Tamandua tetradactyla: one gene and its partners. The protein of the gene in region 1 purifies or fractionates together with the protein of each later gene. This does not show direct contact. Links are inferred from orthologs where the notes say so. Each region holds a gene or a part of one and is shown in the gene's direction. Other genes may lie near its edges.

Region 1 (7,691 bases):
TTCAAGTGATGGAAATTTGGGTCATCTCTGGCCTCACATGTAACAGTAGTATGTACTTTTTTCCCTTTCTTTTTAGTGTGTACATTTTAATTGCTGTGTAGTATTTCATTGTATGAACATACTCAGTATATCCATTCTGCTGTTGATGGGCATTCCCCCCTAGTTTTTGGTTATTTTAAGAGACTCTGTCCATTTTTGTACCTGCCTTTGGTGGGTTCAGTACTTGTCTCTGTTGAGTACAGACTCAAGAGTGGAATTCTTGGGTCCTAGTATATGCTGTATATTCAACTCTAGTAGATACAACCAAACACTTTTTCCAAAATGGCTGTACCAATTTATGCCACCACAGTGTCTGAGAGTCCCAGTTGCTCCCAGTCCTTGCCAACACTTGGCATTTTAATTTTAGTCATTCTGATGAGGGAATAGTGGTATCTCATTGTGGTTTTAATTAGCAATTCTGCCATGACTAATCATGTTGAGTACTTTTTCATATGCTGGCCATTTGGATGCCCTTTTTTTTTGATGTGCTGCTCATTCAAATGTTCTGTTCATTTTTAAAAATTATCATTTTTTCTTATTGTAGACATTCTTGATAAATTCTGGGTCCCATCCTTTGTTACCTTTATATATTGTAGACATTTTCTTCCAGTTTGTGATCTGACTTTTCAGTCTTTTACTTGTGTCTTTTGATGAGTTCTTCATTTTAATGAAGTTCATGTTGACAATCTTGTCTCATAGTTAATACTTTTTTTGTTATGTTTAAGAAATTGTTGCCTACTTCAAGGTCATGAACATATTCTTGAACAGTTATTTTCAGAAGGTTTATTGTTTATTTTTCATATTTAGGTCTCTGATCCATCCTAAATTATTTTCATGTATAGTGTAATGCAGGGGGTCGAGATTAATTTTACCCCCATGGATATGTAGTTGATCCAGCACCATTTACTAAAAAAATTATCCATTCCTTACTTATTTGCAATGTGCTAACTTTGTAATAAATCAGGTGGTCATATATATGTTTGCATCCTCCAATTTTATTTAAAATATATAGAATATATGCATATATACTTGTACATATGTGCGCACACTTACAGATGTGTGTGTGTGTGTGTGTGTGTGTGTGCATTGGAAGGAAGTAACAAGGTTTGTTAATAGTTGCTACATAAGGCTATATGTGGTTTCAATTTTCTTTCTTTTTATTACTTTCTGCATCAAATATAACATTCAGACAAAACAGACGAAATATTTTTCTAAAATATTCTGGGAGTGGAAAGGATCAAAGGTACAGGTTTTTAGAGGTTGGAGGAGGGGTTAGGCTGGATGGCAAGGAGGAGGGCTTCCTTATTCAGGAAAGCATCAAGGTGTGGCAGACCTTCTATCTTCTTAATGACCTCAGTTACAAGGAAAGAGTGGGGCTAGGAGGCTGGAGGCTTGAGGTAAATGGAAATATTATTATCAATAATGTGTACTGATTAGCAGTCATGGTCCCCTATGCTTCTTTCAGCAGTCCTAGGGGTGAGTCAAGTCCTGGTGATTACACTGATTTTATGGATAAGAAAACAGAGGCTCAGAGACCTGCTCAGGCATGCATTGAGGACCATGTTATGCAAGACAAATAAGGCACAGCCCCTGTCTGTCCTCAGGTAGCTTCCAGCCTGGGTAGGGAAAGAGCAAGTAAATGGTTTAAAGTTTAAAATCCAGTGTGTAAGTGCTAGAAGGAAGGTAAATGCTTGTAATGTGGGATCACAGAGAGGCACCCAACCTGGCCTGGAGGGCCAGGGAAGACATCTGGGGAGAGGGGATATCGAAATGAGTCTTTTTAATCTTTTCTTAATTATGTGAGTGATACATATGTTTAAAAATACAGATAAGAAAAAATCAATCACAGTCCCTCTATCAATACATAATCCCTATTTACACTTTGATGAAATTAATGCCTTTTAAACTTAATTCTTTCTCTGAGAAAAACACATACATATGCAAACACATACAAAATTGCATAGAAATAAATGAAATTCCACTACAGTAGCATTCTATAGTTTATTCTTCCTCAGTATATTTTAAACCAATATATACAAATTTACATAACAATTTAAATGCCCTTTTGTGGTATTTTTAAACATATAGATGTATCAAAATGTAATCAATCTCTTACTATATTAATTCATTTATAACATTTAGAGACTATAAACAATGTTGCAAAGAAGAACTTTTTAACACACTGTGATGGTTAGATTCTTGTGTCAACTCGGCCTCCTGATGATGCCCAGTTGTCTGGTCAAGCAAGCACTGGCCTAATGGTTGCTGCAAGGATATCTGATGGCGGGTTGATAAGCCAGAAGGCTGGTTTATTAAATCAGCAGTCAGTTGATTGCAGCTTACTATCAACTAAGAGAGTGCCTCCTCCCAAATAAGTTAATCAAATCACCTGGATTTGGACCTATCAGTTGAAGACTTTAAAGGAAGGAGAGAGAATTTTCACTGTTTATTCAGTCAACAAGCCTCTCCTGTGGAGTTCGTCAAGACTTCTTCGGAGCTGCCAGTGTCACAGCTTGCCCTATGGATTTTGGGCGCTTCCATTTCCATGGTTGTGTGAGACACCTTTAAAATCTCATATTTTACAGATATCTCCTGCTGGTTCTGTTTCTTTAGAGAGCTCTAATACACAAATATCTGTGCATGTCTCCATTTTTGTCTTAAGATGAATTCTCAGAATTCTTTGGTCAATTTACTTTTCCACTGTGTTTATCAACTTGGCTAACTGGACATTTTTCTTCTTTTTTTTAATTTGGTAAGTGAAAATGGCATCCATGTTGTTTTTGTTCCGTTTTCTGATACTTAATTTTAAAAATTATTAGCCATTTATATTTCTTCATTTTGGATTGCCCGTTTTTGGCCATTTTTATTTTGGAGTTTTTTTGGGTTTTCTTATTGACTGGAAAGAGTTCCTATTATTGATAATAAGTCTTTGTCACAGAGTTGCAAACTCTTTTTTTTCTTTAGAACATAATTTTTTTTTCCTGAATTTCATTTGGGAGAACAGTTAGTCATAAGAGCAAGGCTATTCCACAGCAAACAGTAATGAGGAGAAATCTGCTCTCTCAGATATTGTATTAGTTTGTTAATTCTGCCAAAATATACCAGAAATGGAATGGGTTTTAATAAGAGAATTTAATAAGTTACACATTTAGTTCTAAGCCAGGCCATAAAAATGTCTAAACTAACACATCCAAGCAAAGATACCTTGACTCAAGAAAGGCCAATGTCTGTCACATGGGAAGGTCAGCTTCTGATGCCAGTGGTTTCCTGTCTACGCATCTGTGGGCTTTCACTTAGCTCCTCCAGGACACAACTCTGGGTTCTGGCTTGCTTAGCATCTTATGTGAAAGCGCGTGGTGTGTGCATCTCTGTCAGCTCTGAAGCAACTGTTCTCCCAGCATCTGCATCTGAGGTTTCTCCAAAATGTTTCTCTTTTTAAAGGACTCTAGTAAACTAATCAAGACCCACCTTGAATGGGTGTGTCACATTTCCATGGAAGTAAACCCAAGTTTCCCACCCTAAACAATAGGTCTGGCACCACAAGATTGGATCAGGATTAAAATATGGCTTTTCTGAGGGCACATAGTAGTTTCAAACCATCACAGATATAAAATGTATTATAAACCTGCAATGAGCTGGCACAGGGAAGATTAACAGACAAAACTCAGAAACATCCAAGTATATACAAGTTCAGCATATGATGAAGGTGGTACCTGAAATCAGTAGAGAAAATGGTGTTTGGACAACTATCACAAAAATCACGTCGGATTTCTTCACTCTAGAACCAAAATAAATTCTAAGTAGACTAAAAGCTAAGTGTATATAAATTTAGAAATTAAAAAATAGAAAAAATAATAAATAGTTATCATCTTTGGTGAAAAGTGATTCGCTTACCCAAAAGAGCCAAGAAAACATTTTGTAAGCGAACAGAGGAGTGGAAAGGCATTCCAGGCAGAGGGACTGAGCAAATGTCTGGAGACTCCAAGAAGCAAAGCAGCGTGCTTTACTCTAAATAGCCAGGGTCAGGAATCGAACTCCGGATGCCCACAACGGAATCCGGGACTGAGTCCACGCCCGCTCCCACAGGCCATAATAATTTTGTAAAATAGCACTTTTTCCATATATGGTACTTAATATCTGTTCTTCTGGTAGGATGACATAGGACAGGGAAAAAACAGCCCGCGGGGCCGGGCGCCAGCTACGCCAGCCTCCCCTGTCCGCTCCCGCCGGGCCTGCCCCAGCGCAGGCAATGCACCAAAGCCGGGTTCCGGAGCCGTCCGCGCCCGGAGCCGCCTCCTCCTGATTGGACGCTCACTGCGTCAATCCTCCTCCTCGAACCTGGCTGTCCGTTGGACCCGCCCTTGGAGGGCGGGGCTCCCGCCTAGGAAGCGCGGGGGAAGGTGGAGCGGGTGGAGCTGGGGGCGGATGGGGAGGACCAGTCCCCACCCTTCTGATCCAGGGGCTCCGCCCACCCCACTTTCCACAGGTCAAGATGTCCTTCCATCAAGACCCGGCGCATACAGGAGTGGGCGAGACAGCTTAGGGGCGGGGCCTTTCCTCCCTGCTCCGCTCACTAGCCGGCTTCGGACTGGGAATGGACCGGCGACTGAGAGGGCGGGGCAGGGGGGGCGGCGAGGATCCGAGCTGGGTGCGGTGAGGCGCGCAGATCACCGCGGTTCCTGGGCAGGGCACGGAAGGCTCGGCGAGGCTGACCTGCTGCCGCTCCCGCCTCGCGCGTTCGCCCCATCCCGCCGCCACCCGAGCGCTCGAGAACGCTCCCTCGGGAGAAGCATCGCCTGTTCCCCGGGGCTCCTCCAGGTCCAGGTGAGCGAGCCCCACCGGCGGGTCCCGCCCTGGGCCGGCGGGCGGGGGCGGCGGCGATGGGGCGCGCGGCGTCAGGGGCGCGCGGGCCGAACTGTGGTTGTCGGCCCCGGCGTGGCCCGCGACCGGCGCGGGCGGGCGCGAATGCCGGCGACCCCGGACCGGGCAGCGCATCCTCTCCGGAGGGACTGCGGGACCCCTGCGCGGGTGCTAGGGGACGGCGCCCCTGGGAGCGAGGCCTCCGGGAGCGGAGGAAGTCTTCGGTGCCGCGCGCTCCCGGGCCACGGTTCCCTCCCTCCCGCTGCCGGGCACGTCCCCCCCGCCCCGGCACTTGGGGACCCCGACCTCGTCCGACCGCCGGGGGCACGCGCCCCGCTCTCCCCTCGCCCAGTGCCCAACTTGGTAGAACTTTTTTAACCTCTTCCGGGGAGCCGTTGCCCCTTGGACCCAGCCGGGCGGGTGGAGGTGCTGTGGGGGACTCGAGCAGTCAGGGCTCCGGGCAGGGGCTCCTTTGGAAGTTTCCATGCGTTTTGGGGACGGAGGTAACGGGCGGGAGGAGACCGTTTGGCAGCTGTCAGGGCGGCCTCCTGAGTCAGAATGGGACAATCCCGCCGCAGACATTGCGCTCGGCTCGGTTTCCGCCCTGGGCTGCAGACTTCCTCATTCGCCCTGCTGCGAAGGGTCGGGCCCTGGAGGAGGGCGGAGGAGAGGTACGGAGGGGTGCGTGGGGAAGGGGGACCCGGCAGGGACGCGGCCGCGGCGCAGGAAAGAACACCCACCCCCCCCAACCTTTGACTGCTATTGCCGGGGAGAGGAAGGAAACCTCGGAATGCACGCAGCCGTCGGGCCGGCCTAAGCGTGCACCTGATTCCTCCGCACCCGCGGCCGCCCCGCCCGGGCCATGCGGCTAGAAGCGGCATCCTGTTCCTTTAGGTCCAGGTTTGGGTTATCGCATCTTGTCTGCTTGGGCCGGATCCAGGGTTTTGAACCCCTCCTCCCACTCCCTGTGCTGGAGTCCTCATCCCATCCCCGTCCTGGGGCCACTCCAAGGCCCCGGGTAGGACCAGAGCACCCCAGTTCCCTTCACGATGCCCATTGTTCACACTGAAACGTAGTGACTTCCAGGGCTGAAGCTCGCCTGCTGCCTTGAAGGTGGTAGTGGTGGTGGTGGTGGGGTGAGAGCCAGGACTGCTGCCGGCGCCCCACCCAGCCGGTGTGAAGGAGAAGGTTCCTGGGAAGTCCCAGGTCCGGAGGACGGCTGATTTTAGGGCCCCAGACGCTTCTCGGTTCACCGAGCCCTCTCAGCAGGATTTTAGAGTAACTGTTGAAGGGGAAGGAAGCTTAGTTCCTTTTGGGATAACACTATGGCCATTTCTGAGCCGGCCTGAAAACCTCTTGGTGAGGAGGAAAGCTGCTCTAAGGCCTATTTAGACAATCGCCCCACTAATATTTGTCAATTTATATATAAGGCTGCCATGGGTGGGGTGGGGGTACAGAGATGTGTAATTGAGCAAATATTTGACTGGCTTCTCTGCCAAGAACTCTGCCACGGAGTGGGGGTGGGGGTGGGGGTATGTGCAAGGTTGAGTAAGACCTGGCCCCTGCCCTCTGGCATTTAGGGGAGAGCCCAGACAAATCTGTCAATGACTCTAAAGTGAGGTGAGGTGGAGATGACAGGGACCCCAGAAAGGTACTGTGAGTCATGGAGATTGAGAGAAATGATCCAGCTCCCCCCCTCACCCCTGAGTGGAGATCCTGGAGGCCTCTTGGAGGAGGCCTCTGCCATCTGGGAGTTTGCAGTCTTCCAGGGGACATAGTGGCAGAATGACAGGAACACAAAGGCAGCCTGTGATGAGCATCACAAGAATGCCATAGACAAAGGACTCGAGGAATTCCAAGGCCTAGGGAGACTAGTTCTGTGTGAAGGGAGGAGAAAGCAGCTGTGAGGAAGGAGCATGTTGCAGGTTTGGCAAACTGAGGCAAGCATATGGTGTTGGAAAGTGAGGCGTCATCTAGTGGATAATTGGGAGGTAATTAAAAGTGTCAAGATTGCTCAGTGTAATTTGAGAGTCACCGTGTCCCTGGTGGCTGCTGGGTATTGCCAGGCCAGTGACACTGAAGAGCCCCACTCTCCACCTCCAGCAAGTCCTGGTACCTGGAGCTGGGGCTGGCCAGCTAGATTTGGGGAGTTATTCCTGGGAGAGGGGCAATTGGAGAGGTGTATTCTGTGCGGATGCTTGTCCTAAGGCTTGTGAGGGTAGATGAAAGAGGCCCTTTTTGTTTTTAAACTTTTTAATCTGAGGGGTTAGAGATGGGACAACTGCTCTCTTGTAGGATGAAGGATGCATGTAAATCACAGCCTGCCTTTTGCCTGCTCTTGCTTCAAAAAAAAAAAAAAAAAAAAAACCCAAAACAACAAAACAAAGATCTGTTAGCTCCTTAAAAGAAGAAAAGCACACTAAAAAAATGCAGCATTGTTGTGTTGCCTGATAGGGTATTGCTAGAAGCCAGGATGGCTGTGCTTTCTTAACTTCCTCTTCTAGCTAATCCTTCAATAAAGTACTTAAAACAGCCCTTACCAGCTTGATATCTTTATTTCAAAAGGAGAGGAGGGGTTGGCCATAGTATTTCTCTGAGCCTGGGCCCTACCCTTCTTTTGGAGGGAAAGAAAGAGAATCCCAAAGGAAAGGGAAAAAAAAATCCATGCCTTGACAGCTCCCTTCTAAGCATCATGTTCCAAAAATATTTAGAATAACAAAATCTGTGTCGTCTTAATTAAACAAATGTTCTAATTTGCTGAGCATAAAACAGCATCTCTGCCTGGGGCAGGA
Region 2 (7,589 bases), on another chromosome or scaffold:
AAAATGTTAGTTACAAGCAAAACTGTGTTTTGCATTTGGCTGTTCTGCCATTAGTGACATTAACACAAGCAAAGTGGAGTAAAATGGGGGCAGAAGCCTAATTTTAGTAGTTGAAGAGGGCCTTGGAAGGAAGTGGCAATTTAAGCACAGAAAATTCTTATAAATACAAGGGAACAAATTCAGTAGAGCAGGAGAGATTATTGACTGGAGATGGAATGATGAAGTGTTAACAAGACAAAAAAAAAAAAAGGCCTAATTTCCCGGTGCCTGCCCATGCCAAAAAAGAAAAAAAATATTGCCTTAGAAAGGAAGAAGGCAGGAGGTAAGGAGGTGTCCAGATTTAGATAGATCTGTAGGGGTAAGGGTGGAGGTGTAAAGCTGTGAAGTGTGTAATGGTAAATAATGATATCGATAATATTCACATTCATCTTCACACATATACAGTCCATCCAAAGTATCAATGGCCCATAACATTACCACATAGTTGTCCATTTTTAGAACACTTGTACCACTGCAAGAAAAGAAATAAGGAAAAAGAAAAAGCCCATACATCCCATATCCCACACTCATCCCTCCCATTGACCATCAGTATTGCAATTAACCCCAATTTTTTTTACCCCGCATTCCCCCTCTATTATTTATTTCCTATACTTATTTTTTTACTCATCCGCCCCTACACTGGATAAAGTGAGTGCCAGTCACCAGGTTTCACAATTGTAAAAACTATATATAGTTACACACAGTAAAAACTATATATCGTCTTCAAGAATCAAGGTTACTGGAACATAGCGCAACAGTTTCAGGTACTTCCCTCTAGTCGCTCCAATGTAACATAAACCAAAAAGATTATCTACATAATGCATAAGAACAACCTCCAGGAAAACCTCTTGATTCTTTAGTTTGAAACTTCTCAGCTACTCAAACTTTGTCTCATTTTTCTCTTCCCCTTTTAAGTCAAGAAGGCCCTCTCAATCCCATGATGCCAGGTTCCAGCTTATCCTTGGGAGTCAAGTCCCACGCTGCCAAGAAGATTCACACCTCTGGGAGACATGCCCCAGGTAGGGGGGAGCACAGAGAGTTCACCTGCCATGTTGGTTTACAGAGACAGCAAGCATTAACATTTAGTGCATAATTACCATGTGCCAGGTACTCTTCTACATGGAACTAATTTTGCTTCAAAAACATTAGTTAAATATAGGGAGCGAATCAGATAATGAAAGCTTAGTTTCTTTCAATAGTTGGGAATTGAACATTTTGATGTAGCCTAAAAACAAGTGTTATTACCAAGTAACGTATGCAACAGTGACTTTACCCCACCATATCTGACCCTCTTTTCATCCAGGCACTCAGCTTAATCCTGATCCAGGGGCATGCTGAGTAATAGTGTTTTTACATTTTTTTTTTATTATTACATGGGCAGGCACCAGGAAACGAACCTGGGTCCTCTGGCATGGCAGGCAAACATTCTTGCCTGCTGAGCCACTGTGGCCTGCCCATGTTTTTACACTTTAATTAATCTGTTGTAACTCCCATTAATAAGAAAGCTAAAGAACCAAAATAGCCCTATGAAAATTTTAACATCACCGGTGTAGTAGGTTGAACAGTGTCCCCTAAATCCAAGCCTAACCAGAATCTCAGAATATGACCTTATTTGGAAATAAGGTCTTTGCAGACATAATTTGTTAAGCATCTTGAGATAAAATCTTACCAAATCTAATAACTGGTGTCTTTAAAAGACGAGAAGAGCACACAGATAGATACAGAGATGATGACGATATAAAGATGGAGGTAAAACCTGAGGGATGCGTCTACAAGTCAAAGAATACCAAGGCAACCATCAGAAGCTAGAAAAGTATGGGATCGTTTCTTCCTTGGAGCCTCCAGAAGAAACCAACCCAGCCAATACCCAAGTTTTGGACTTCTAGCCTTCTGAACTGTAGAAGTATAAATTTGTTGTTTTAAACCACCCAGGATGTAGTAATTTTCTATCGCTGCCCTAGGCAACTAATACAACCAGAAATTTACAGCAAGATGATTAAAAAAAAATGTATTAGTGAATTCTCTCATGATCATTAAAGAACTGAATTACTCTGATAAACTGTCCACAGTTTTACTGTGGCCAGGTATGACTTCCCCTTGAACTGTGAGCTCTTAAGGACAGGGATAGGGATTATTGATCTTTTATTCTTTCTCAAGGCCTGGCACAGTATTTTGTAAATAGTACAAGCTCAAAGTTTGTTTAAGGAATTAACGCATTATGCTGAAAAAAATTAAATTACACTTTCACTTTACACCTGAAATGAGAAAATCATTAGAAATGACTGGATCTCATTTTAACTAAAATAGTCTAAAAAATTTACTGCTCACTTACTAGATACCAAGTAATTTTTTTGGGAAGACACACCTGAAGAAAAACATGGGTCTAAATGGGAGACAATTAATGAACTAAAAGGTTTAGGCTATGAGTCTCCCAGGTGCTAATTCACACACAAGAATACATATTTAACATTAATGAACTAAAATGGCTATGAGTAATTTCCGAGATTCCAAAGAGGCCCTACTAACATCAAAATATCTTAATAAATAACTGGATAGTCATTTAGACATCTAACTAAGAGTAGATTTATTTCCCTCAAGTCTAACCTTTTTGGAACTCAGGGATTTCAGACACATTTTGATACATCAAGTTTTAAAACATTCATTTATTCAAGTTCTACTTAAGAGAAAGTAGAATAGCTAAAAAGTGTCTTCACATGTTATAGTGGTAACATTTTGCTTTTAGTTCTAACAAGAAAGTCTTTAATGATTTTCATTCCTCTTGGCTTATGTATCAAAATAAAGATAAATATAAACCTTTAAAAGATTATTTCCCTCCATAAAATACAACTGCAAGTAGTTTCCAAATGAAGCTCTGTAACTGGAGTGAATGAAAATAGAAGTAGCAACTGAATAAGGACCCAAGTTAAAACATCATAAAATCGGACATGGCTTTCAATTCTGGAATAATCTAAATGTCTTCAGCTTATTTCTAATAGCTGGTTAAATATTCTATAGTTGGGAGAGGGGTTCTATTAATTATTCCTGCCTATATTAAAAAAAGGATACTCTAATAATATTACTTACAAAACTATACTGCTATATATGATTGTATCCATAAAAATTTGAATATTGCTTGAATGGAGCAACACACAATATTCTTTTTACTGGCTTTCCTTAATTTTCCAAATATTTTATTCTAACGTGCCTTTTTCCCTTTATTATAGTAGTTGTGGGTTTAAGAACAATCATGCATAAAATATAGGATTCCCACATATCACCTTATTATTAACACCTTGCATTTGTTGTGGAACCTTTGTTACAATTGATGATGGCACGTTTTGATAATTGTACTATTAACTTTAGCCCATGGTTTAACTTTGGGTTTCCTGTTTGTGTGGTATAGTTTCATGGATTTAAAAAAATTTTTATTATTTGTATACCTGCATTCTAACATTTCCCGTTTTAGCCACATTCAGATCTATATTTCTCTACTGCTAATTATATGCACAATGTTATGCTACCATCAAATAGGAACACTGTTTAAAGAGTTTGTTGGCAAAGTTGAAAACCTGTAGGAGTATTAATTGTTCATGATATCATTACAGCTTTGTTATCAAGTATTACAAAGCCATAAATAATCTCTTTAAAATAAGACGAGGACCCTGATGCCAAATATGATTTCAATTTGCATGGCTTTAAATAGGTTCAGTTGTCAGTAGGATCAAAATTAACCTCAACACAGCAACTGGAGTCAACCAAGACGCCACATCTCTTCAGAGACAACCTACATGTATCAGTACTGCAGTTAACTGACTTTTACCTTTTCTTCTTTTGTAAACTAGTGACACATCCTGTAATAAGCAAGAGGACTAAGCAGATGACCTTGGCCTCTGAAAGCTGGCCCACACTCTCGGGCTACATTCGCAGTGTTTACATGGGCGGCTTCAGGTAGAAAGAGGATGGGATCAAAGATCTAGCAGGGAAGGAGGTTTCTATCCCGCCTCGGGGCTGGGGGCTATCAGTGCCATCTCTGCTGCCTTTTGGAGACGACTCGTTCCAGACAAAACAGGGGCGACCAAGTCCCAGCACGTTTCTCGGGTGGGTGGACAAGGGGGCTCTCCAACCCTCCTAAAGACTAAGGAGGTTTCCGGAAAGTATCTCCTCCGCTTTCTGTTGCATCGCTGACAGCCCGGCTCGGTGGCAGAATTGCTTCTCCGGCCTAGTTCCAAGATGGCGACGGAACATCGAGAGGTTCAGCGTAGCCGCGGGATACCTCCTCTTCCCAGCGATCCCTGCGCCGGCGGCGATTGCACTGAGGTGTGTGTGTGTGTATGTGTGTGTGTGTGTATGTGTGTGTGTGTGTGTGTGTGTGTGCGCGCGGCGGACGGCGGCAACCGGAGCGGGCTAGGAAAGACGGTGGGGTTGGGAGAGGCTGCGGCGCGGAGCCCTCCCGCCTGCGTCCCGGCCCCGCCCCGCGTCCCCGCGTCCCCGACCGGAGCCTTCTCCAGGCCGCGGCGCGCGCAGCCTGCCGGGATACTCAGCCCGCCCATCCAGTCCTCCCGGCTTGCGCTGCGGCCGCGAGTTCTGTGTTTCTCCCAAGATGGTGGCGCTGGGCTCGGGGTGACTGCAGGAAACGACAGGGCACCGATAACCCGCCCTCCGCTCGCTCGCGCACCCCGCCGCCACGTAGCCAGCCACCGGCCCGGCGCCCGACAGCTGCCGCCGCTGCCGCCTTCTGCTTCGCCTCCGCCGATCCGGTTCTTTCGGCCGCGGGCGGCGGCGCCTCCTTCGGCTTCTCCTCCCGGCGGTCTCTGAGCGGCTCGCGGCCTATCCCCGGCCAGTCAGGCCCGCAGCCCCCCCGGTGTGGACAGGCAGCGGTAGAGCAACAGCTGGCGACGAGCGTGGGGTCCTCGGCGTCCCTAGCCACTTTGCCGGCCTCGGCCTCCAAAGAAGGAAGCGCGGGTCCCGCATGAGCCCCGGCGGTGGCGGCGGCAGCGAAGGGGAACGAGGCGGTGGCGGGCGGAGGCGGCGGGCGGAGACGGCGGGAGAGGGCGACGACGACCAGTGAGTCGGCTGCCGCTACGAGGTCCGCGGCCCAAGCGCGGGAGCGACGGCAGGTCAGTGTCTTGTCAGAGGCCTAGCGGGTGGGCCAGGCGGAGTGGGGCGCGGCCTTCTTTCCTCTGTCCTCTCGGGCTGAACCCTCCACCTCTCGCCAGGGTGAGTATTTGGGGGCGCGTAGTCTCGGGGGGCCGGTGCAAGAATTAGGCCCCTTCTGGCAGAGCTTGCTGCCTCTGTAACTGTCAGTCCTGATTGCGCGGAAGGGAGGGTTTTGTTGCCTGAGGGTACAGGAGCGAGCCTGGGGTGGGGCGTCCAGGACTGCAAGAGCAGGCCTGGCTCGCTGAAAGGCCGGCTGAGCCAGGGTCCAGGTCAGGAAAGAGCTGTCCTTTCCCTGCCAAGGGAAGCGCTCTCGATGTTTTCGAGGTCTTGGACTCTCTTGGTGAAGAAATCTTCAGGCGTATGCTTGGTGAATTGGGGTTTGGGGAGGTGGACTGATGGGAAGGGAAGACGACGGAGGAACTGGCGTGTCAAGCCTCAGGGTTGCGTTCACAGACTGTTCAAGTGTTCCTCGTTGCCAAGATTCTAAAGTTGAATGCGAGTTAGTGGGTTTGCCAGAGAATGTATTAAATGCAGACCTGCAAATAATTGCTCCCCACCCCCTTTTTTCTTTTTCCTTTTAATTGAGAGAATGGGAAGGGAACTTTGCTCATTTTGGTGTGCAGGTTTTGATTGGAAAAGCCAAAATCGAATACGACAAATGCTTTAGGCCATTAGGGTTTTAAAAATAGATGTAGTACAGACATTGTTTGGTTAAGTTTAGCGTCCTAGAAAGATAATTTAGTCTCTAAATTTTTAAAAACTTCTTATGGGTGTGCTAAAATAGAGACAATACAGAATCTGATTAGAATTCTAATTAAGTGGCTAAAATGCTGTTAATAAAGTAAACTAATAGCAGATGGGATTTATTGTCCAAAGTTAACCCTCGGTGATGATGAAATATGAATTTAACCAATAATTTTACATCATTCCATTTCCTGCAGTATTTGAGAGAAGCAACTAATTATCCAGACATTTTGGGGGTGGGGAGAAGGAAGGTGAACTAGAAATGACCTAAAGTTTAAGAAGTACAAGCATTAAAATGTTACATGTTAAACACACCGCAGGTGCACAATAAATTTTGTTGAATTGACTGGACAAGTGGAATGAGAAGTGTTCTCACACCTCTGACTAGTAAGTACCCTTACTTAAATTATTTTCAAGCCATGAAATAAAATCTACAACTCAGGAGAAAAGAAGAGAAGTTTTGTCATATGCATGAGAGAGCTTTGGAATTAGACCCCGACTCTTAAGTCTAAGGTATATATAGCATTTTTAATGAGATGAATGCAATATTAATGATGCTTTTGAAGAGTCCTAAGGCTGACAAGAAGTGCTTTAAATAAACACTATTAAGCATTACAAAAAAGTAAAAACTTAAATGAATAACTCATTTACAAAATTAAAATGTAAACTACGGAAGTCTTACTGTGTCACTATTTATTAACTGTTGTGAGTGGTAGTATGTACGTCATTTTCTGGACATTGTCCCATCCCTGAGGAATCTGCCTATAATTTATAAAAATAAAAATATAGTGCTTTTATGTCTTTTCAGATATTATGTAAGGTGTTTTTATTTTATCTTTCTTATATTGAAACTTTTTCATGGCTTAAAATTAATTTCTTAAGTACGGGTACTTACTAGTCAGAGGTTTGAGAACACTTCTCATCCCACTTGCCCAGTCCCTTCAACAAAATTTATTGTGTACCTGCAGTGTGTTTGACATATAACATATTAACACATTGTCATCCCACTTCCCCAGTATACTTACTAAGATTTATTGGGTGCCTAAAATGTCTGTGACCTGTGAGATTTTAATAGCTAAGATTTCTGAAACTTGAGGTTATTTCTATTTTAATACCCTTCTCACTTTCCTTTGAAAAAATCCGAAATAATTTGCTGTTTTCAATATTGCAAGCAGTGAAATGTTTCAAAACTGTCTGTAAACTTTTCAATCCAAGTTGAAATGATGTATCCAAATGTTTCTTAAGTCCTTACTGGTTATGTTCCCCATGCACTCTTATATATAGACCTATAATAAACATTATATTAAATGCATATGCAGTTTTTAAAAAATCAGCTTTCTAATTCATAGTGAAGCTAAATTTTCCAAAGTAGCTTTTTAAATAAACTACTTGAATAAAGGTTGGACAATTTGATGGTTCAGGAAACAGAGTTTTGGTTGGTTTTGATAATTTTCACCCCACTCCAACTGTGAAGATAAAATATAATCAGAGCTCTCATAGTATCTGTAATGGAAATTAGACCCTGTTTTTAATTGTGGCCTTATTCCAGCAATCTCACGATTGGCAAGTCATTTAATCTTGGTGAGCCTCAGTTTTGTCATCTGTAAAATGGGATGGCTAAAGCTACCTCAGGGTTTTTTTGAGGATTA
Region 3 (7,943 bases), on another chromosome or scaffold:
AAATATATTAAAAACAACAGCAACAAAAAGCAAAACCCAAGCCTGGGGTTGCCTCTGGGATCCTTCCCTGAGCCTCGATGGGCCCGGGGCCTCTTCAGACCTTGCCTGGTGCCCTGTGTGGCATTCAGTAGTCACCACCGTGTCCCCAGCAGCTGGCACGGGGCCAGCTCGGGTTCTGGTGAGCCCAGCAGATGGCAGAAACCTCTGGCCGAGGAGAGCCTGATTATGTGGTACAGCCGATCGGATTCCCACTAGGACAGATACCACGCCCCACACCGAAGCAGCCGGTGCCAGCTGAGGAGGCCTGCACGAGGGGCCCAGCGTGATTCCCACTGCCAGGCCCAGGGTGGCTGGGTGCAGGTTTTGCCACCACTCAGCCAAGTCCCTGGCCACTCTGAGCCTCAGTTTGCCCATCTGAAGTATGGGGCCAAGAGCAGTGACTGCAGAGGCTGAAGGACTCTGTGGGGCCCTTCGAGGCTCTCCATGGACCTTGGCCTTGCACCCGGTTCTGGATTCCAGGTTCCAGCAAATTCCAGTAAGGTCTAGCAATAGCCAGACTGGGCTGTTAACTGCAGGGCCAGGTCTCTCACTTTCACGGGGACTCGGTTGCCCTTCTGAGAAATGGGGAGATTCCCACTTAGCTCTGGACCTAGGCCCGGCCCACGGTTGGCCCCAGACACTATGCTTTCCCTTCTCCTCTCACGGACATGGGGGGAGACCAGGAAGGGGAGGCTGGGCTGGGAGATGGGGGAGCCAGTGGCCTCCGTGAGTCAGCGGCCACCCCGCCCGTCCTTTCCCAACACCTCCTTCCCCCCTTCCCCTTTCACTTCCTCAGGCTCTTCAGGAGGGGTGCCCCCACCCCCACCCCGGACCTCTAGTGGCCCAACACCTGTGGGAATTTCCGAGCCCCCCCCCGGGCTGGGCAGGAAAGTGGGGGGAAAAGGCCACCCAGCCAGGAGGAGGTTGAACCCCTGACATCCACCAGCCCTCGTGGGCCCAAATGGCACTTCAGGGGTCCCCCTCCATACAGTGACCGCCCCAGGCCACCTGGGAGCCACGTGTCACACCTGCTCGGTTCACAGCCCAGGTGGCAGGGCCAGGAGTCCCCAGAACCTGCCGTGGCTGTTGGCCCCCCATCCTCTGCCCCAGAGGCTGCCGTGACCTCTGGGTGGCTGTGAGCAGGTCGCTGTGCACACGAGAGAGGGGACAGGAGCATCCACCCCAGCTCACCTGGACAGCCCCACCCCGCCCCCAAGGGGCCCCTTCCTTGCAGCCCCCTGGGTCTCTCTGGGGGGGTCTAGGCTTCTCATCCAGAGAATGGGCACAGTCAGCCCAAGGACCTTCATGGGATAAAAGGGCATAGCTGGTGAGCCTGTGGAGGGGAAGCCCAGGGAAGCTTTTTGTTTCTTTTTTTTTTAATCATTCAAGCAAGTCTGGGAACCCCCCTGGAAGGCTGGGCAGGTTTTTCTGAGTGCCCTGGGGGAGTGGAAGTGAGAGGGTAGTTTTTAAGGATTTTTAAAAACTCCCCCATGAAGTGTCTAGAAGTTCCCAGTTTCTCCAGGACAGCTCCCACCCCCCAGATAACCCCTTAGGGGGTGGGGGAATCTGGGTGGTGGGGCAGAGGCTGCCAGGTCTGGGGAGCCAGCCAGGGTGCTGCCCAGGGCACAGCCCATCTCTCTGCCCCTGGGCCTTTGACCAGGCTGTTCTCCAACCTCCCCTAGCTGGCTGGTCACCTCCTCAGGGAGGCCTTCCTGAACTACCCTTTAAGAAGCTCTGGCTGGGTCTCTACTTCTCAGTCATGGTAGAGGAAGGAGGAGGTCACGGCAGGCTTCCTGGAGGTGGCAGTCCAAGAGCTGACCCCTCCCTGAAGACTGAGAAGTCTGGCAGGAGGTGAGGGACCCCAAGCATAGGCCCTCCCAGGACCTCAAGACTCCTGAGGTCCACTTGCTCAAAGGAGCCGAGGTTTCTTCTTAAGATCATACTGCAAACAGGGAAAGTGGGGATGCAAGAGGCAGAGGAGAGAGGAAGCTTAGGCCCTCAGGATGGATTGCTGTGTGACTGCAGGCTGGTGGTTGTTCTCTCTGAGCCTCAGGAGACAAGTGCTGAGGAGTGAGGCAGGGCCCAGGAATTTAGAGTTTGGAAGCACCTTTGGACCCATTCCCTTGGGACATTCCAGGCTTTACTCAGGGAGGGGCAGTATAAGGCAGGAGGTGAGGCCACTGCTTTTGGGGACCCCGAGCCCAGCTCAGCACCCTTCACACAGGAGCCTAAGCCCTGGGTGCTTTACCAGTCCTGCTTCAGTTTCCCCATCTGTAAAAAGGGGGTGTGCTTGCTGGAATATCTTAGCCCCTTTGCCTCACCCCTTCATTCAATTACCCCTCACTGAGAGCCCTCTGGTTGCGGGGTCCCTGCCTTCCTGTGGCCCATGGTCTAAAAGGGGGGCCTCTTCTCCTGCTCAGCCCTATCCCAGACCCTCCCTCTGAAAAAAAAGGAGCTTGGGCTGCCTACCCGGCAGGCCCAGGGCTTGGTGGCTGGTGGCTGTTTGGCAGGAGAGGGCATGGGGTGTGGGGGAATCTGGCTCCAAAAGGCTACGGACACCCTAGCCTGGGGCCTGGCAGGGTGAAGGAACCAAGAGACCTGGGACCCAGTGCTGGGCCCCAGGTTCATGGTGGACCCAACCGGCCCCAAGTCTCGGCAGAACCCCCACCCCCACCCCCGCACCCCACCCCGCAAAGGCAAAGTTCCCGAGTGAAGAATAACCTGTTCACTTCCTCTCCCTCCCCTCCTCCCCCTCCCCCAGCAGGCTGCACTTCCCCTTTCCCCTTCCCCTGCTTTCTTGCTCTGCTCAGGCCCATTTACTGGCCAGGCCCCATCCCACCCTGCCCCAGGCTTGCTGCCCAGCCCCTCTGGCCCCTCATCTCCCCAGAGTCTGGACTGAGGACACCCAGCCAATCATTTCTTCATTCAACAGAGCAGGGCCCTGAGGGGGTTATGGGGGGCGTGAGCAAGGCAGGAAAGTGGGAGTGACATACCCTCAAAAGCCAAATTACCAATACTAGTCCAGGGTAGCTGTCTTATGTGGGGAGGAAAGTGGAGGATAATGATGCTAAAGTCCTCTCTAAGAAGGGGCCTTCTGGTATGGGCCTTGAAGGATGCATAGGAGATCACCAGGAAGTGGCTGCTGCAGACAGTGGGTACCATAGGCCAGCGGGCAGCCCAGGTCCTGCTCAGGGACCAGTGTTTCCCACTCGGTGCCCAGAGCCACCCCAAGAACCTCCCACCCTATGCCTGTAGCCCCGAACTCAGTACCCCACCAGGCTCATCGACAGGCAGCGCAAAGGGGTGCCCCCTGGCCTGGTGAATTACAGGGCTGGCAGGTCGTGAGGTGGCTGGCGAGATGCCCGTGATCGAGAAAGAAGGCCAGGGCCAGAGCTGCCAGCCTCCGGGAGGCAGCGAGTGGACAGGCTGGGAAAGTTTACCCAGGCCCACGCGAGGATGGGGGAGTGGCCGCAGCTTCTTGGCAGGTCTCTGGGAAGGCTGGCATGTGACTTGGACCGTGTGGCCTCTGCTGTAGCTGCGTGGGGGTCTCTCTTCCCACCTGGGGATGGCCTCTGTGGTGCTACCCTGCCCCCAGGCCCATCCAACGAGCTGGAGCAAGCCACCTCTTCTCCAGCCGCAGGCTCTCCATCCCCACAGGGCCGACGGTCCTCCCGCTTTCTCACCGCCATCGGGTGCCCAGAGATGGCCAGTGACAGAGGGACGAAGAATGCCTGTGGCCTCTTGTCACCCCGAGTTAAGCCCACCCCTGGTCCTCCAGGCTGAGTCCCCGGGCGCCAGGCTTGTCTGACACACACTGATCTTCATGTGTCCCCACCTGGGAACCCTAGGACAGAGGACTGGGCTGTCCATTTTGGACGCCCCCCGCCCCCCACCGAACATTCCCAGAGACATGGGTCTTGCCCAATGTGGGGTGCACAGACCCAGGGCAAGAAAGGTTGAGAAGAGGGTCTTCTCTGAGACCAGCTGGCTTTGGGTTCCCACCACTGCCCTCCCCCCAACTCCCCTCTGGCACATTGCGTTCCTCCCCAGAGTCCTTCCCGGCCTCCAGATGGTCCAGGGAAGCAGCTCAGCTGTGGCTGTCCATGACGGAAGATGGATGGAGGGGCCCAGCCTCGAAGGGGGGCAGAGTCAGCCCTGCCAACCCCACCCAACAGCTAACGGCTTAGGCTGGGTGTGACCAGGCGGGCGTCAGAGGCAGCCTGGCTCCTTGGAAACAGTTTCCCTGCAGCAGGGGAGGCTTGCAGCCTTTCCGCCAGGGAAGCTCAGCCCCAGGTGTCTGAGAAGGGCCCCAGCCCACAGCCAGCCCAGCAAACACCTCCAGAGTACCCCCAGGCCAGGCCTCCTGGGCAGTTGAGCTAATGTTGGCAAGGGGGAGTGACTGTGACCGTCCCCTGCCTGTGTCCCCCTCAATGCCGCTGCAACTTCAGCACGTGCCTGCGGCAACCAGCGCCCTTGCTTCCATGCTGACCCCTTGCCCACCGAGGCCTGCTGTGCTCATGTGACATCCACACCCACAGGGTCACGGGTGGGGGTCGCGGCGACACCAGCAGCCTGAAACCAGGCCTGGCCCGCAGGGCCGGCGTGGACACTGCCCATCCGGGGGACGACCCCAGGCCTGCACCCCTGGCCCATGGGCCCGGCACCCAAGGGCGGCTAACGCCAAAACTCTCTCCCTCCTCCGCCCTCCCTTCCTCAATCTCGCTCACGCTCTTTCGCTCGCTCCTTTTTTTTTTTTTAAAGGAGGGGAGAGGGGGTAAAAAAATGCTGCACTGTGCGGCGAGGCCGGTGAGTGAGCGGCGCGGGGCCAATCAGCGCGCGCCGTTCCGAAAGTTGCCTTTTATGGCTCGAGCGGCCACGGCAGTGCCCTATAAAACCCGGCGGCGCGACGCGCAGCCACCGCCGACACCGCGTCCACCCCGCGAGTACAGGCCTCTCGCCGCTCAGCCGCCACCACCGCCGGTTTACATTCGCCACCTCCAAGGTAAGTCGCTCTGGCCAGGCACCGAGGCAGGGTCCCCGCGCGCTGATGGCCGGGCACCGAGGCAGGGTCCCCGCGCGCTGATGGCCGGGCACAGAGGCAGGTTCCCCGCGTGCTGATGGCCGGCGCCCAGGCAGGGTCCCCGCGTGCTGATGGCCGGCGCCCAGGCAGGGTCCCCCCGCGTGCTGATGGCCGGCGCCCAGGCAGGGTCCCCGCGTGCTGATGGCCGGCGCCCAGGCAGGGTCCCCCGCGCACGGATGGCCCGCGCGGAGGGAGGGTCCACGGGCGCTGATGGCCGACGCCCAGGCAGGGTCCCCGCGCCTCCATGCCCTGGAGGCAGCGCCCCGTGGCAGCGTCCACTTGGTCTCCAGCCGCGGCCCCACGTCGCCCGTGGAGAGCCGCCCCCAAACCCCGCGACAGGCGGGATTCCACCTCCCTCCCCAGCTCTGGATCCGAGACCATGAGCCCGTAGCGAGCGGCTTGGAGGAGTCCTGGGGTGGGGGGAGGCCGCGGTGACCGGCCGGGTCTTTGTCCAAGCGGGCAGGTGGCTGTCCCCTGTCCCCAGGGTGGGCGCAGCGAGGCCGGGGTGGGGGTTGGGACGCTACCGCGCGTGCGTAAGTGCGTGCTCCCCGCTCCCCACTGCCCCCACCATAGCACCCCCGTCTATCGCCGGCCGGACAAGGGCGCGGGCAGGGCCGGGGTGCACGGCCCAGGCCGGGGCGCAGGGCGAGGGCGGGGCCGGCCCTCCCGGAAGGGGTGGGGTCGGCGGGCCTCCAGGGCGCCTGCGCGCGCCGCCCCGCGCCCCCGCCGAGGGTGTGGCCGCTGAGCCCCAACTGAGCGGGGCGGGGGCGGGGCCGCCGGGCGGGGGCGGGGCCTGGCTTCCTGCCGCGCGGCGCCGCCGCCGCGACCCGCACTTGCCTTTTATGGAAATAGCGCGGCCGGCCGGGCTTCCTTTGTCCCGAGGCCGGGCGCGCGCCGGCGCCCTCTGGCGGCCGGAAGTGGGCGGGCGGGCGGCCCCTCCCCCGCTCACGGCCTCGCCCCCCCGACCCGCAGCTCACCATGGATGATGACATCGCTGCGCTCGTGGTCGACAACGGTTCCGGCATGTGCAAGGCCGGCTTCGCGGGCGACGATGCGCCCCGGGCCGTCTTCCCTTCCATCGTGGGGCGCCCCCGGCACCAGGTAGGGCGGCCAGGCCCGCTTTGAGCTGGGTGAGGTCCCGGGGGCAGGGGGGGGTCTGGGCTGCCCGCACAGGGGCTGACCCCGTCCCTTGTTCCGTAGGGCGTGATGGTGGGCATGGGCCAGAAGGACTCCTACGTGGGCGACGAGGCCCAGAGCAAGAGAGGCATCCTGACGCTGAAGTACCCGATCGAGCACGGCATCGTCACCAACTGGGACGACATGGAGAAGATCTGGCATCACACCTTCTACAACGAGCTGCGCGTCGCCCCGGAGGAGCACCCGGTGCTGCTGACCGAGGCCCCCCTTAATCCCAAGGCCAACCGTGAGAAGATGACCCAGGTCAGTGCTCCCCGCCTCTCCCGGGCGGCCCGCGGTCCTCTCCCTGCGGTGCCTTCCCTCCTCTCAACTTGTTCTTCTCTCTGCCGTTCTCCATAGGACTCTCTTCTCTGACCTGAGTCTCCTTTGGAACTCTGCAGGTTCTGTTTGCTTTTTCCCCAGATGAATCCTCTTTCTGGTGTCTGTCCCTTTTACTAGGTGTTCCTAAAGTGCTGTGGATTTAGGTACTAACACTGGCTCGGTGGCAGCCAAGGACGCTGGTGTAAATTGCCTTGGAGTGTGTCTGATTGCACCACCTTAGGCCTGGACTGAGCCCCTGCCCCCGTGTCCCCCTCCCCAGCACACTTTTACTGTGTTCCTTGCACTCTTCTGCATGTCCCCAGTGTGGCCAGCTGTCCCTGTCCCCTCCTGGACATGACGAGCCCCCCACTACCCCTCTCCCTCCAGATCATGTTCGAGACCTTCAACACCCCTGCCATGTACGTGGCCATCCAGGCTGTGCTGTCCCTGTACGCCTCTGGCCGCACCACGGGCATCGTCATGGACTCCGGCGACGGGGTCACCCACACCGTGCCCATCTACGAGGGCTACGCGCTGCCCCACGCCATCCTGCGTCTGGACCTGGCCGGCCGGGACCTGACCGACTACCTCATGAAGATCCTCACCGAGCGCGGCTACAGCTTCACCACCACGGCCGAGCGCGAAATTGTGCGTGACATCAAGGAGAAGCTCTGCTACGTCGCCCTGGATTTCGAGCAGGAGATGGCCACCGCCGCCTCCTCGTCCTCCTTGGAGAAAAGCTACGAGCTGCCTGACGGCCAGGTCATCACCATCGGCAACGAGCGGTTCCGCTGTCCCGAGGCCCTCTTCCAGCCCTCCTTCCTGGGTGAGTGACCACGTGGCCTCCTAGCCCTGCTCCCGCCATCCTCCCCCTTAAGGCCAGGCCCCCCACGCCCCCCCAGCCCGGGTTGCCTTGCTGTGCAGGGAAGCTAAGACCAGTCTCTCTCCCTCCAGGCATGGAATCCTGTGGCATCCACGAAACTACCTTTAACTCCATCATGAAGTGTGACGTGGACATCCGCAAGGACCTTTACGCCAACACGGTGCTGTCTGGCGGGACCACCATGTACCCGGGCATCGCCGACAGGATGCAGAAGGAGATCACAGCGTTGGCACCCAGTACGATGAAGATCAAGGTGAGTCTCTGGTGGTCAAGGGGAGCCTTCATCTCCGGGTCTGGGGCCTGGGCACCAGCCCCTCCCCCAGCCCTTTGCGTCACCAGGATAGGATCTTCAGGCTGACGGTCTCCCTTCCCTCCCCAGATTATCGCCCCCCCTGAGCGCAAATACTCCGTGTGGATCGGCGGCTCCATCCTGGCCTCGCTGTC

What was found.
Region 2: the proteins of MYH9 (region 1) and UBE3A purify together in Homo sapiens (affinity purification with western blotting; 3 studies listed by BioGRID, with this or other methods). This does not show direct contact. The link is inferred for Tamandua tetradactyla from reciprocal best matches to the Homo sapiens genes MYH9 and UBE3A.
Region 3: the proteins of MYH9 (region 1) and ACTB purify together in Homo sapiens (affinity purification with western blotting; 4 studies listed by BioGRID and IntAct, with this or other methods). This does not show direct contact. The link is inferred for Tamandua tetradactyla from reciprocal best matches to the Homo sapiens genes MYH9 and ACTB.

What each region holds. Positions count from the first base shown.
Region 1 is NC_135333.1:28,689,451-28,697,141, reverse strand, and holds the start of MYH9 (myosin-9), read left to right. Parts: upstream 1-4,675; 5' UTR 4,676-4,863; intron 4,864-5,551; exon of another isoform or gene 5,552-5,570; intron 5,571-7,691. UniProt on the Homo sapiens protein: Cellular myosin that appears to play a role in cytokinesis, cell shape, and specialized functions such as secretion and capping. Required for cortical actin clearance prior to oocyte exocytosis. Promotes cell motility in conjunction with S100A4.
Region 2 is NC_135338.1:78,190,465-78,198,053, forward strand, and holds the start of UBE3A (ubiquitin-protein ligase E3A), read left to right. Parts: upstream 1-4,588; 5' UTR 4,589-5,156; intron 5,157-5,422; exon of another isoform or gene 5,423-6,260; 5' UTR 6,261-6,327; intron 6,328-7,589. UniProt on the Homo sapiens protein: E3 ubiquitin-protein ligase which accepts ubiquitin from an E2 ubiquitin-conjugating enzyme in the form of a thioester and transfers it to its substrates.
Region 3 is NC_135349.1:4,685,516-4,693,458, reverse strand, and holds the start of ACTB (actin, cytoplasmic 1), read left to right. Parts: upstream 1-4,942; 5' UTR 4,943-5,041; intron 5,042-6,091; 5' UTR 6,092-6,097; coding exon 6,098-6,220; intron 6,221-6,319; coding exon 6,320-6,559; intron 6,560-7,003; coding exon 7,004-7,442; intron 7,443-7,570; coding exon 7,571-7,752; intron 7,753-7,878; coding exon 7,879-7,943. UniProt on the Homo sapiens protein: Actin is a highly conserved protein that polymerizes to produce filaments that form cross-linked networks in the cytoplasm of cells.